2 linked regions of the Rattus norvegicus genome follow. The protein of the gene in region 1 interacts with the protein of each later gene in a pairwise test. Links are inferred from orthologs where the notes say so. Each region holds a gene or a part of one and is shown on either strand. Other genes may lie near its edges.

Region 1 (6,567 bases):
AAATTAGCACCAGGGCTGCTGAGATAGAGAATTTTGCAATCCTTACCAAGCACAGGCATTGCCATTTAAAAAACTATTACTTCCTTCTCTAGTCTTTGTCCAACAATAATACTGATTCGAACATTTTCCATTCTGTCTTGGATTTATGCTCCTGTTAATTGCGCCTGATCGCAATGATTCCGGGTGGATGGTACTCAGTTGCTTTATTACAGGTTTTATTATACTCAATGCTCTCATTTGTAACTTGCCTAAAGTGCTTCTGGATTTAAGTATAATTAAATTGAGAAATGTTCAGAAATGACTACTGCTGCAGTTCTTGTGTTTTAACTATATGGGGAAATATGATCCCTTTATGCATGCACCCTAAACCCATAAAGTAAATGTAGTGTGGCATAATACTTTTATTTCTGTTATTTCTAGCTAGACCTTGTCCATACAGGGAAGACTGTTAAGTTTAAAATCCCACTGAGATATTAATGATTAAATAATTTTCACCATCGACTTGATTTTCTTAAATATTTAGCAGCCATTCTTATTAAAAGTTAACCGTGGCAGCAATGAGAAAATTGAAAACAACCCTTTTCCTGACCCAAATTCCTTTGAAAGATTTTTTTTCCCCTTGAAAGGTGGGGGAGGGTGAGAAGAACGCTGGGCTTCTTGCTTTCATGTGATCATTTGGTTAATTTCTCCTACTGACCAATTTCACCACAAAGATTTACCACACAGGTATCAAGAATTCCCACCAGCCACAGGACATTTTTGCAAAAGCAGACCTATGTCCAATGCAGGGTAACTCCAAAGCTTAAGATACTACTTGCTATTTGAGTGTTTTCAAAGAACGGGCAAAGAAAAGAATTCAGAGCCTCTCTAAAATCACCGTAACTTCTAGTTCTATTCAAAATTACTTTTTTATAAAATATTGCCTCAAATTCACTAAGGATCATTTTCTAAAAGCATGTAAATATGAACACACCACACACACACACACACACACACACACACACACACACACACACACACAGAGCTTACTAAGCCTTGCATTGGACCAAGTGCCTGCTTTCTGTGTTCCTTGCAAGGCTGTTAAGCATAACCAACAAATTTCAGTGATTAACTGGGCTAAATGAGAGAGGTAATAAATTTTCTATTTTCCTGTAGAACTTCAAGAATGTTTTAAATCCGCCAGGCAATCAGGTAAGTCCATGTGGCCCGTTTTCCTTACAATCTAATTCAGTAATCATTAAACTGTCAACAGACATACCACTGCTATATTTGATGTAGTAATTTGAAATAGCATTTTAGCAGAAATCACATCCAGATACATTTCCTTTCCAAAGAAAAGCACCTTTAACGGTGCATATATATATATATATATATATATATATATATATATATTCCATTTCAGGACGATTGTAAGAAAGTCATAAATTTATAGAGCTGAGGCTGAGATGCTGGTTGCAATTTAATTTTTAAACGTATTTTCAAATTATCAATAGCCTGGGCTACATTCTAAGTAGTACGTGTGCTAAGGCCCTGCTTATTTAGAAATTATTTTAAAACTGCATTTATTGAGAACTGAATTAGAACTCAACACAGCACCCAATAGTCTCCAAACATTTAATTGAATATGCAGTTAGCAGACTCTGATAGGCGTTGGGAACCTAGCTAATGATTTATGAGGTCACCACTTAGCACCCCCAGGAAGAGAAGAAAGCTGCATTTTAATGTCCCTGTGCTCGGATTTGCTACTTATGTCCCTTTGATCAGGATAGAGAAGGCATAACTTCTAGGTTTTACTAATGCTTATAAAAGCCGGTTCAAGGACCTTTTCCTAAGTCTCCCATACTTTCTTTTACTTTGTGAGCGCATCTGAAAAGCTCTCTAGATTAAATGTAACCTATTTCCTAGAACAGCGAGAAACCCCCCCCCCCACACACACACACGACACCTTCAGCAGTGGAATTACATTCTCCCTCGATCCACACACTTTACCGCCTCGGAGAGAAGCTACCTGAAGGGTGACAATCGCCAGATTTATTTGTGTCGGTTGGAAGTGGTGACCCAGGCTTTGTTGAGCGAGCTCCAGGAAGCATTGTTCTCAATTACTTTTTAATTTCAAAAGTCGATTGTTCAAGTGAGTCTCACCCTCACCCCCAACTATTATTGAGGAAAACCAAGGCCCTGAGGGCCTGGGCTCCACGAAGCTTCCCAGCGGGCAGGTGAGCCTAGGTCTGCGTTCCCTCCCGTGGCCTGCACGGCCTCTTACCGGGACGTCCTCGATGGCGTGAGGTAAGGAGTGGATCGGGAGGTCCCCGAGCCCGGAGCCGAGCCCGTGCGGGCCGTGTAAGAGGTCCTCGTGCCGCCGATAGTCCCTGCGAGGGTCCAGGCCTGACAGTTGGTGGGGTAGCCCCCGGTGTGTGTGTAAGAGCCCAGACTCCTGGCTCTGCCTCTGGCCGGGCCAGCCCGGGTGCTGCGGCTGCGGCTGGGCGTGCAGGGGATTCAGGCTGTAGGGGTCGTTGACGTGGGAGTAAGGATCTTGCGACTGGGGGTAGATAGGCTGGTAGGGCGGGGGAAAGTAGGGAGGCTGGAAGTCGGCATTAGGGGTGTGGGACAGCGGCGGGGCGCTGGTGTAGGGAGATTGACCTACAGTGCCCAGCTGGGGCAACCGTGCCGTCCCGTTGCTGGTGCCGTCGTGACGGTCCTGGAAGAAAGCAAGACAGAAAGGGAAGGAAAAAGAAATGAGGCTCAGGGTTTCAGCTATCCTACTTGATCTATTCCACAAACCCAGTGTGGGCAGGCCACCGAACTAGGGGCATCAACTCTACACTGTTCATATTGGAAAACACCCAAGAAGTGAAGCAGGCCTTTCTAAAAAAAAATGCAAAGAAATCAGAATATGTAAATCTAGTGGCACAACAGACTCTCCCGGACATTCCTCTCAAAGGAGGGAAGAAGACATAAAAGAGTATGTCCTGTGCTACAACCCTTAACAGCCGCAGTACCAAACCTCCCTTAAGCAAAATTCAGATAGCCACTAAATATTAAACAGGAGAAGCGGCCTTTGCTTTTCCCGGATTTGAACCTGTCTGCCAAGGCATTATTGTTTACTCTTCCATTAATCTTGAGGGGGGAAAATCATAAACCTTCAAAGACTATTACCATTTCATGACTATTAAATAGAAACATGTTTCACATAGAGGCCGTAAGAAAGCACACGTTTAAATGACCAGCTTAAAGGTTTTAACTGCATGGTTGGGGAGGGGGTCTGTCTTTTCCGCTTCCTCTGTTAGAAGGCTTTTTACACGACAGGGTCGTTTTTATGATATGAATGGGGAGTGAAGGACGCCAAGCCAGGGTTTAAAACAGAAAGATTCTGTCTTACCGGGTTCTTTTTAAAAGAAAGAGGTGCACCCCGGGGCGGAGGCCCCCGCCCCTTCCACCCCAGCCCCAAAGGGCAAAAGAAACCCCTGACTTTAGGTTTCTCAATTGCAATTCCCTTGCAAAGCAAGACAAGGGTGGGTTCCAGAAAGCGGGAACCTTCCGAGGTTTAGCCATCAGGCCCCAGGCTAGGGGACACACCGGGGTGCGCCTTTCACCCCCCACAGACGGATTAAACATCAGCTGTGGAGAGCGTCTCCGAAACTAGTAAAGACGCAAGGAAAGAAAGACAAACCCGGCGAGAAACTGGCCCAGGGAAAGAGCTGCGGGGTAGGTCTGCGTGCGCGGAGAGGTCTAGCAGGGACAGGGCAGTGGCGACGCGTTGGATTTGGGGATGGAAAGGAGCCAGAGAAAAGAGGAAAGGGGGATAGGAATGCAAATGGAAGGCGAGGTCCACAAGGAACCCTGGCCAAGAAGCTCAGGATCTCGGGCAGTTTCTCGGCTGCGGGTTTCTGGAACAGAATTCCTAAGGAAACAGGGTTGGGGGTGGGGTGGGACTCACCATAGCTGAAAAACTGTGAACTAACATCTGCGAAGAATCTGGGGTAACCAGTCAGGGTGAGGAAAAAAAAAAACCAACAACAATAACAAAAGCAAAAAGCAAAAAGCACCACGCCTCGAGCACCCGGCTGCCCGGCGGCCCGAAAGAGCCACACACAAAAGGCGCCGAGAGCCCCGCGCCACCCAGGACTCCAGTCACCGCGCGGACGTTCCCGCGAGCGTCGGAGCCCCGCTCGGATCCATCCGAACTTGTATCACCGAGTCGCGCGGCGCCTTCAACTGGTCGAACCCACGATCTCTATCCTCCCGGGATCGGTTAGGATTCAGAGCTCTTTAAGAAAAACAAAAAGCAAAAACCACCACCAACAAAAAACAACCAAACCAAAAAAAGAAAAAAACCCACCAAAAAATACGAAAAAGTGTGTGTGTGTGTGTGTGTGTGTGTGCGTGCGCGCGCGCGCGTGTTCCTTAATCCGTGTCTCCCCCTCTTTCCTTAGCGGCGGCTTCACTTCAGCTTCTAATAACCGCGCTGGGCAGCGTTCCTGGAGCCTCCTAATAGCAGATATTCATGACTATTAATATTACACGAATACTTAATAAGGGAAGAATGCCTGGAAATCGAGCGTGAAGCGGAGAGGCAACTCGCGCCGGAGCCGGCTCTCAATGCAGTCATTGACGGGAGTCTCAGTGTAGCAAATCGGAGGTGGGGAGAGGGAGCGCGAGAGACAAAAAGCGAGCGACGGAGGGAGCGGGCGAGCGTGCGGGGGGCCGCGGCGCGGCGACTGGCGAATCACAGCAAAGGGGCAACATTTTAAAAGGTTGCAGGGCCTGCAAAAGTGAAAGAGAAAGAAGGCGAGAGAGGGAGGCCGAGGGGCCAGAGCGCGGAGAGGGAGGATGTGTCTGCGTGCGTGTGCGCGAAAGAAAGTGTGGGCGACCAGAAGAGAGAGGAGTGGAGAGAGGGAGGGAGGAAGGAGGGAGCGCCGGGGAGGAGGAAGGGAGGGCAGGAGGGAGGGAGGAGGAGGGGGAGGAGGGGGCCGAGCCGGAGCTGCGGAGGGGGAGCCCGCGGCAGAGGGGGGGGGAGGGGGAGAGGAAGCGAGGGAGGACAATCGGACCTAAAAGGCTAGGGCAGACCTCGGGATGGAGCGGGGGTCGCGCGCCGCGAGCTGGAGCTCCGGGGACCCGCTGGCCGCTGCCCACCGAGTTCTGCGCCTGGGAGGTGCTTCCCGCCGCTCTCCGGCCCCGGGATTCTCTGTTGCGCAGCGGGGCCTGGGACTCGGGACTCGGCTGCCCGCTGCCTCGCTGCTCCTCCATGGCCCGGCGTCCCGCCTGGGAGCAACCCGCCCGCTTCGCTAACCCTTGTCCTCCGCCTGGTCGCGAGTCGCCTTCCCTAGGACCTCGGAGCCGTGCGCTCGTCGGCTGCGACTGCTCCGATCTCGGTTGGTCCCCGGACCGGGTTCCGAGAGCGGGAGCCGGAGCCGGAACGCGGCCCGGGGCGCGCACAGACGCGAAGCGGCCCAGCCTGGGCGCCTCTGGCAAGGGCTCCTGGCTCCCTGCACAAACCCGTCGGACTGGCTGGGCCACTCCCGCCGACACCCCCTAGATGACAGGGCTAGCTCTCCCCGCGCGTCGCCACTGCTAGTCTGCCCGCCTGGTTGTCGGAACAAGCGGCACCTCGCCTCTTGCGTGTCCCTGCAGAGCCTCAGCTAAATCAGACAACTCCAAGCCCGCTCGGAAACCTGAAATCCCTGCTCCAGCGCTGGCTATCCCGCCGCCACCAAAGTTGTTGAAATTGTCCAGACTTTTTTTCCCGGCCCCAGTCTCATCACACCCCTCTCCCAACCCTCTCTCATGCACCTCCAGAGTCCCTCTGGGGGGTTCAAGTTCATCTCGCGCCCTACCCTCGAGATCCCTTTGGTGTGTAGAGCCACACGAAGGTTCTTAACACTTCCACTCAGGGCGCTTGTATCTCGAACTGACTTCTGGGTTCCAAGAAAGTGAAAAAGCGTCAGCCTGGGAAGGGAGCCCAAAACCCTAAGGGAAAAAACTGCTCTTAAATAGTCGCAGGAGTACCTAGGCCTGCCGGCCAAAGTACCCTTAGCCTAGAAAACAAAGCTGGCTGGTCCTATGTGGGGTTCCTGTGCCCCTTCCGGCGCACCACAGGAGCCCCCCAAAGAAGCACGGATATTGTTTGTCACCTGGTGTCCCCTCCGCCAGGTTAGGAGTGGAGAGGGGTAAAGAGAGAGCAGGAGAGGAAAAAGAAAGTAAAATGGCTTTTTAAAAGCAAAGTGGAGGGAGCGGGTGACACTTCCTTCATGTAAACCCAGTTTCTGATTTCGAGTGGAGACAGAATTTTTGCCTCTGCGCCCGCGAGCAGACCTTTCAGCCAGAAACCCCAAAAGCCAAAAGGAATGAAGCGAAATAAGAATAGCGAAAGTCAAGGCTACCACAGTTTTGGATAATCACGGGCTTCCCACCCCTCAGTCACCCCCACGCACTCATCAGCTCCCTTCAGTGGAGTTTGTAAAAAAAAAAAAAATTAACAAGGCTAAGGTCATCCCCTGCACAAGCCGTTGGTGTTTTCTCCATGCCTCCCTGGCTGTCCCAAAAGTTATGCTCTGAGGCTCTGGGTTT
Region 2 (4,776 bases), on another chromosome or scaffold:
TACATACACGGGGCAAAACACTTACACACATTAAAAAAAACTTTTAAAAAAAAGAAAGAAAAGAAATATAACAGAAAGAAGCAGGAAGTACTAAGTTCAGGGTAGTGAAGGAAACCAAGACCCGGGCAGTGTGCAGGAGTCACACAGACCCAAAGAACATCGGAATCCCGGGGAGGCTGTAGGCCATCAGCCTGCGGCCTCTCCCGTGAGCACTTCTCTCCAGCCTACGTTCCCAGGCTCTTCAGGCTTTGTAAACTACTGGGAAGCCTCCCTGACCCAGAGATGTACCATTTCCGTAGCGACAGTTTGGTCACAGGCTGGAGCCTCTCTAGGCACCTGCAGAGTTAATCAGACCCAGCAGCCCTAGGAGAGACCACAGGAATGATTCCCTCCTCCCCAGCATAGATCCCAGCAAAGAGTGATTCACAGACTCTACGGTAGCTTGGGCACCATGGCAACGGGGCACCACATCCGGAACAGATGGTTCCACGGCCTTGCCTGTCACATGGCGTCTTTTCTGGCAGGCCTGGTCACCTAGCCCCAAGCGGCATGGAGTGGCACCTGGTAACTATTTATATGGTGGGGGAAAGCCCATAACTAGCAGCTGGCACAGGCAGCGGAGACGCAGGGGTAGGGGAGTCGGTCTGGGCCAAGTCCAAATCAGGGACACGTTAAGGCAGAACATCGAACTTGCTGTCGCCTGGCCTCTGGGCGTGGCTGGGGATGCTGAAAGGCTGGAAGAATCTTAGGAGACGACAAAGCCAAGACGATCGCAGGCAGATGAGGATGCACTGGATAAATCAGCATGGCACAGTCCTCCTGCGGAGGAAGTGGTCGCAGCAGCTTTCTGCTGAAGGCGCCTGCTGGCAGACCGAGGTTTTCTCAGTCGTTGGTGCCACGGCGCTGCCTGGTCAAGTTGATGGGGGTCCGAAGGGAAGCCAAGTCAGACCATCGTGGCGAGGCAAGTCCTAGTACACAGCTAACCCCCCGGGCCAAGCTGGTGCAGAGAAGAAAGATCTCCATGGGGCAGGACCCGTGTCTCCATCAGTTATCCTCCCGTGCTCCAGGATTTGGTACCCACCAAGCAACCAGAGGCATCTGTTGGAAGCAGCTGCTGTGTGACGTGTATCCAGCAGTGACCTTTGCTCGTGAGAGGGATTAGAGGGGAGGGTGTTTTCGAGACAGGATGCTGGTTAATACAACATTTCGTGAGACATCCTGAGCTCCGGCAACACCAGTGAGATCCTGACGTAGTTAGTCTAGGGTGATAAACGGGTGTTTCATTTCCTGCTCTAGAATTCTTTCCAGTCACGAGACCCTTGGGTGTCTCCCAGGCTCATGGCCAAAGTTTGAACAGGAATGATACACCCGCCTTCCCATGTGGCCAGCAGAGTTTCGTTGCTGAAAGAACGTATTTAATCATAGAATGTGTGTGGTGGGGTCTGTCTGTCTGTCTGTCTGTCTTCCTTTCCTTCCTTCCTTCCTTCCTTCCTTCCTTCCTTCCTCATCTCCTCCTCTTCTTTCTCCTCCTTCTTTCCCCATCGTCTCAAGGTCTCTTCTCACCAGAGAAGTTTTTGGAGAGTTCCAATCTAAACGTCTGTCAATTGAGGCTGGTAACACCGGCACTGGAACCAGTAATCAAACGAGCCAGAGGCCAGGCATCCAGGGGTCACTCTAGCTCCCAAAATGCACTTGTGCTTCTGTGCTGGACACTTTCTAGGGAATCATTAGAAGCTGCGGGCTGCAGGAGTCAGACACATGATAATTTGACTATATTTTACACGTCCATGTTTATTAGGGACCTCAAAAAAACAAAAAAGCAAAAAAAAAACAAAAAAACAAATACACTGACTCCAAGATGACCCGTGATGCAGAATCAGATATGAGGAGAATCCTGGGCAATGACTGGATTACCGTACGATTGGGCCACACAGCCCAAAATCAAAGGCACAAGGGTTGTTTTGGAAATAGAGATTCAAGAAGCCCAGGAAAATGTTCTTATCAATGTGCAGAGCGCACACTGCGGGGTCCTGCTTCATGGAGGATATCCAGAGCCGCAGCATTGGGGTGTGATTCACACAGCTGCAAGACAGGGAAAGGACAAGGTTGGGAAAGGGGACACTATTCACTCTGTAGATTATAAAGAAACAAAAATCTGGGTTTCTTTGGGAAATATGATAAGCTTAGTTATTATGCAGTAAACCTGATCTTCACTGAGGACAAGGCTTACTTGGACCGGTGTGTCCAACTGTTGACACTGTCACAGTGGCTTCTGTGAAAGTGGCGGAACACTTGTGAACTGAGGCAGGGGAATCAAGCCTCTTCATTTCATGACTGACTGACTGACAGCCTCTCTAGTAAACCGTCTTAGGCCATTTGCAGATTTTACTTTTAGGGCTTTGAAAAAGAGAGTAGCTTCCTAAACACTTTAAAAATAAATTTAAGACAAGCGTGAACCCCTGAAACCCTGGCCTTTTCAAACATGAACAAGGGAATTCAGGGCTAGGGTCTGAGAGACAACATGCTAAGGTAAGACAACTGGTGGGATGGAGGCCAGGACACTTGGTAGGGTCTTACTAATCTCAGGATCTCCACGCTGCCTTGGAAGGAGATGGGTTTATGAGTTACCTGTGTATCTCACCACCTAGTCTTATGTCTGATCTAAAGAACTACTTTGCAAATCCTAGAGATGTCAGGTACCTGTGGCATGGCTGGCTGGAATCTGCATCAGCAACACTACACAGGCCTGGCTCTGAGGTAACAAAGTTTTAAAACAAAGCTTTTAAAGTGTGACACCTGTGTGATACGTGCTTGCTACTTTGTTTATATGAAGAGTAATGCATGCGCTGCTTTTGAAACCTGGTTTTCAAAGGGCGTTTCTACTTGGGAGGACATGAGAGGGGATTCGGCTGCGTGGCATGTGCCCCGTGACTCAGCAGGACCATGTGTGTGGCGATGGAGGGAACTAGATTATTTTGCGTGTCTGTGAATACATGGGGGACGGTGGGCTCTGAAGCAATGGGGGTTGGGGGGCTTTGCACACTGAGCCTTAGCCATAGACATGTAGGTAATATATGCATTTGGACACGGAAGCATGCCTGAGCAGTATGGAGCCCTGAGTTTTGTTTCACAAACATCCCAAGACAGTCCACAGGGGAGTCAGTGGGACCCAGAGCTTCTTGACAATTGGCACTCATTCAATTTGCAATCACATAGTCAGATGTCTTACTCAGCCAGTCCATATACATCCAGTCGCTCAAACCAGGGCCAGACGAGGTAATCAATCATGGATATAGAGTCTCCACCGAAGAAGGTAGTGTTCTGATATTCAAGAATCTAGAAATATACACAGAACAACAGCCAGTGAGTTTATGTGTTTGCTGACATGTGTCACAGATGCCAAATATAAATATCATATTAATTACAAGGAAGGAGAGCTAGCTTGCCTGCCTATTTCCAAGAGACCACTTCTTCCCTCCCCACGATGTCCTGACCACATCCTGCTCTCTGCCTCTCCTCAACGCCCAACAGAAAACACGGCTCACTGACTGGACAAGTTGGGAAGAGCAATTCAGGAAGAGGTGGCCTAGTCCTCCCCTTAGTCTAAACCAGACTCCTCCAAGTCCTAGGCTGTCTCCAGAGCAGACGAGCTTGGAGCAAGGATGCCCTGCCTCGAGCCAACACCTGCCCATTCCCCAGAGACATGAAAATGTGAGCCAGAGGCTAAATACCAGCAGTTAGAAACCCCACTTGCTGGAGTCGTGACCTCATCTCCTGCCTACTCTGTACTTCAGGGATGCTGCAGACCCCATTGGTCTTTCTTCTGCCTTCTCAGTGGCTTCAGGGCTAGGTCTAGACGGGACAATGCTGTTCAGTGGGTTTCCCTGCGTCCTCGGCTGCCTTTACCATACTTTCCTCTTTTATTCCAATCCTTCAAGCTCCTGACACTCAGCATCACTAACGTTCTACAATAACACAAAACTCAGTCTTTCTCGAATGGGACAAATGGGACCACACAGGTGGACTCTAAGGCAATCAGACTTTTGACTGACCATGACCAGAGAGCCATGAAAGGCCTGCAGTTTCCAACACAAAAATAGTTACTGCTGAACTGCCCTGAGAGAGCCCCAGGGCGCCAAGCTCCCAGCTAAGTGCACTGCTCACTGGACCTACACAGCAGGCAGCCAGCTCAGCACTTCCCCCTCTGCTGGCAGAGGCTGCTAGGCCAGGTGACTGTGGAAAGAAGCCTAGGCTGAGATCTCCATCTTAGATGAAAGAGTCAAACAGTACATTCGGAACTGGTGAAACGGCTAAGTCAGTAAAGGGCTGGCCACACGAATGTAAGGAGCCCGTGGAGAAGGGCTGCCTCACTGGCTTCCCCAAGAGCTTAGGATGTTCAGACAGGTGGAGCCTCGGAGTCCCTGACAGAGTCCAACTCTGAGTCCCGAGCCACTGAGAGATCCTATTTCAAACGCTCAAGGCAGACTTCACTGAGTAGAAACAGCAACAAACGCCAAGCATATTCCAAAATCTCCCAAGTTGCCTTGGTCACGGTGTTTTATCACAGCAGCAGAAAAGTCACTAAGACAGAAGGGAAGAACAAAGTGGGAGGCGCTCAACTGCCAAACCCGCTGAGGCCATCCACGCTCTCGGCAGCTGGTCCTTCTTCCTGTCACTCACAGAGGTGTGCGAGCAGCCTTACGTGCCACTTCCACCGTGACACTTCTGCCACTAGGCCTTGCTTGCCGTGATTGACAGGAACCTTAAATCATAAGC

The links.
Region 2: the proteins of Tfap2a (region 1) and Gsto2 interact in binary tests that used the Homo sapiens proteins (3 or more experiments, as listed by UniProt). The two-hybrid records come from large-scale screens. The link is inferred for Rattus norvegicus from reciprocal best matches to the Homo sapiens genes TFAP2A and GSTO2.

The regions. Positions count from the first base shown.
Region 1 is NC_086035.1:24,235,368-24,241,934, reverse strand, and holds the start of Tfap2a (transcription factor AP-2-alpha), read right to left. Parts: upstream 4,253-6,567; 5' UTR 3,965-4,252; coding exon 3,938-3,964; intron 2,699-3,937; coding exon 2,264-2,698; intron 1-2,263.
Region 2 is NC_086019.1:256,692,150-256,696,925, reverse strand, and holds the end of Gsto2 (glutathione S-transferase omega-2), read right to left. Parts: intron 3,337-4,776; coding exon 3,230-3,336; intron 2,083-3,229; coding exon 1,911-2,082; 3' UTR 1,772-1,910; downstream 1-1,771. UniProt on the Homo sapiens protein: Exhibits glutathione-dependent thiol transferase activity. Has high dehydroascorbate reductase activity and may contribute to the recycling of ascorbic acid. Participates in the biotransformation of inorganic arsenic and reduces monomethylarsonic acid (MMA).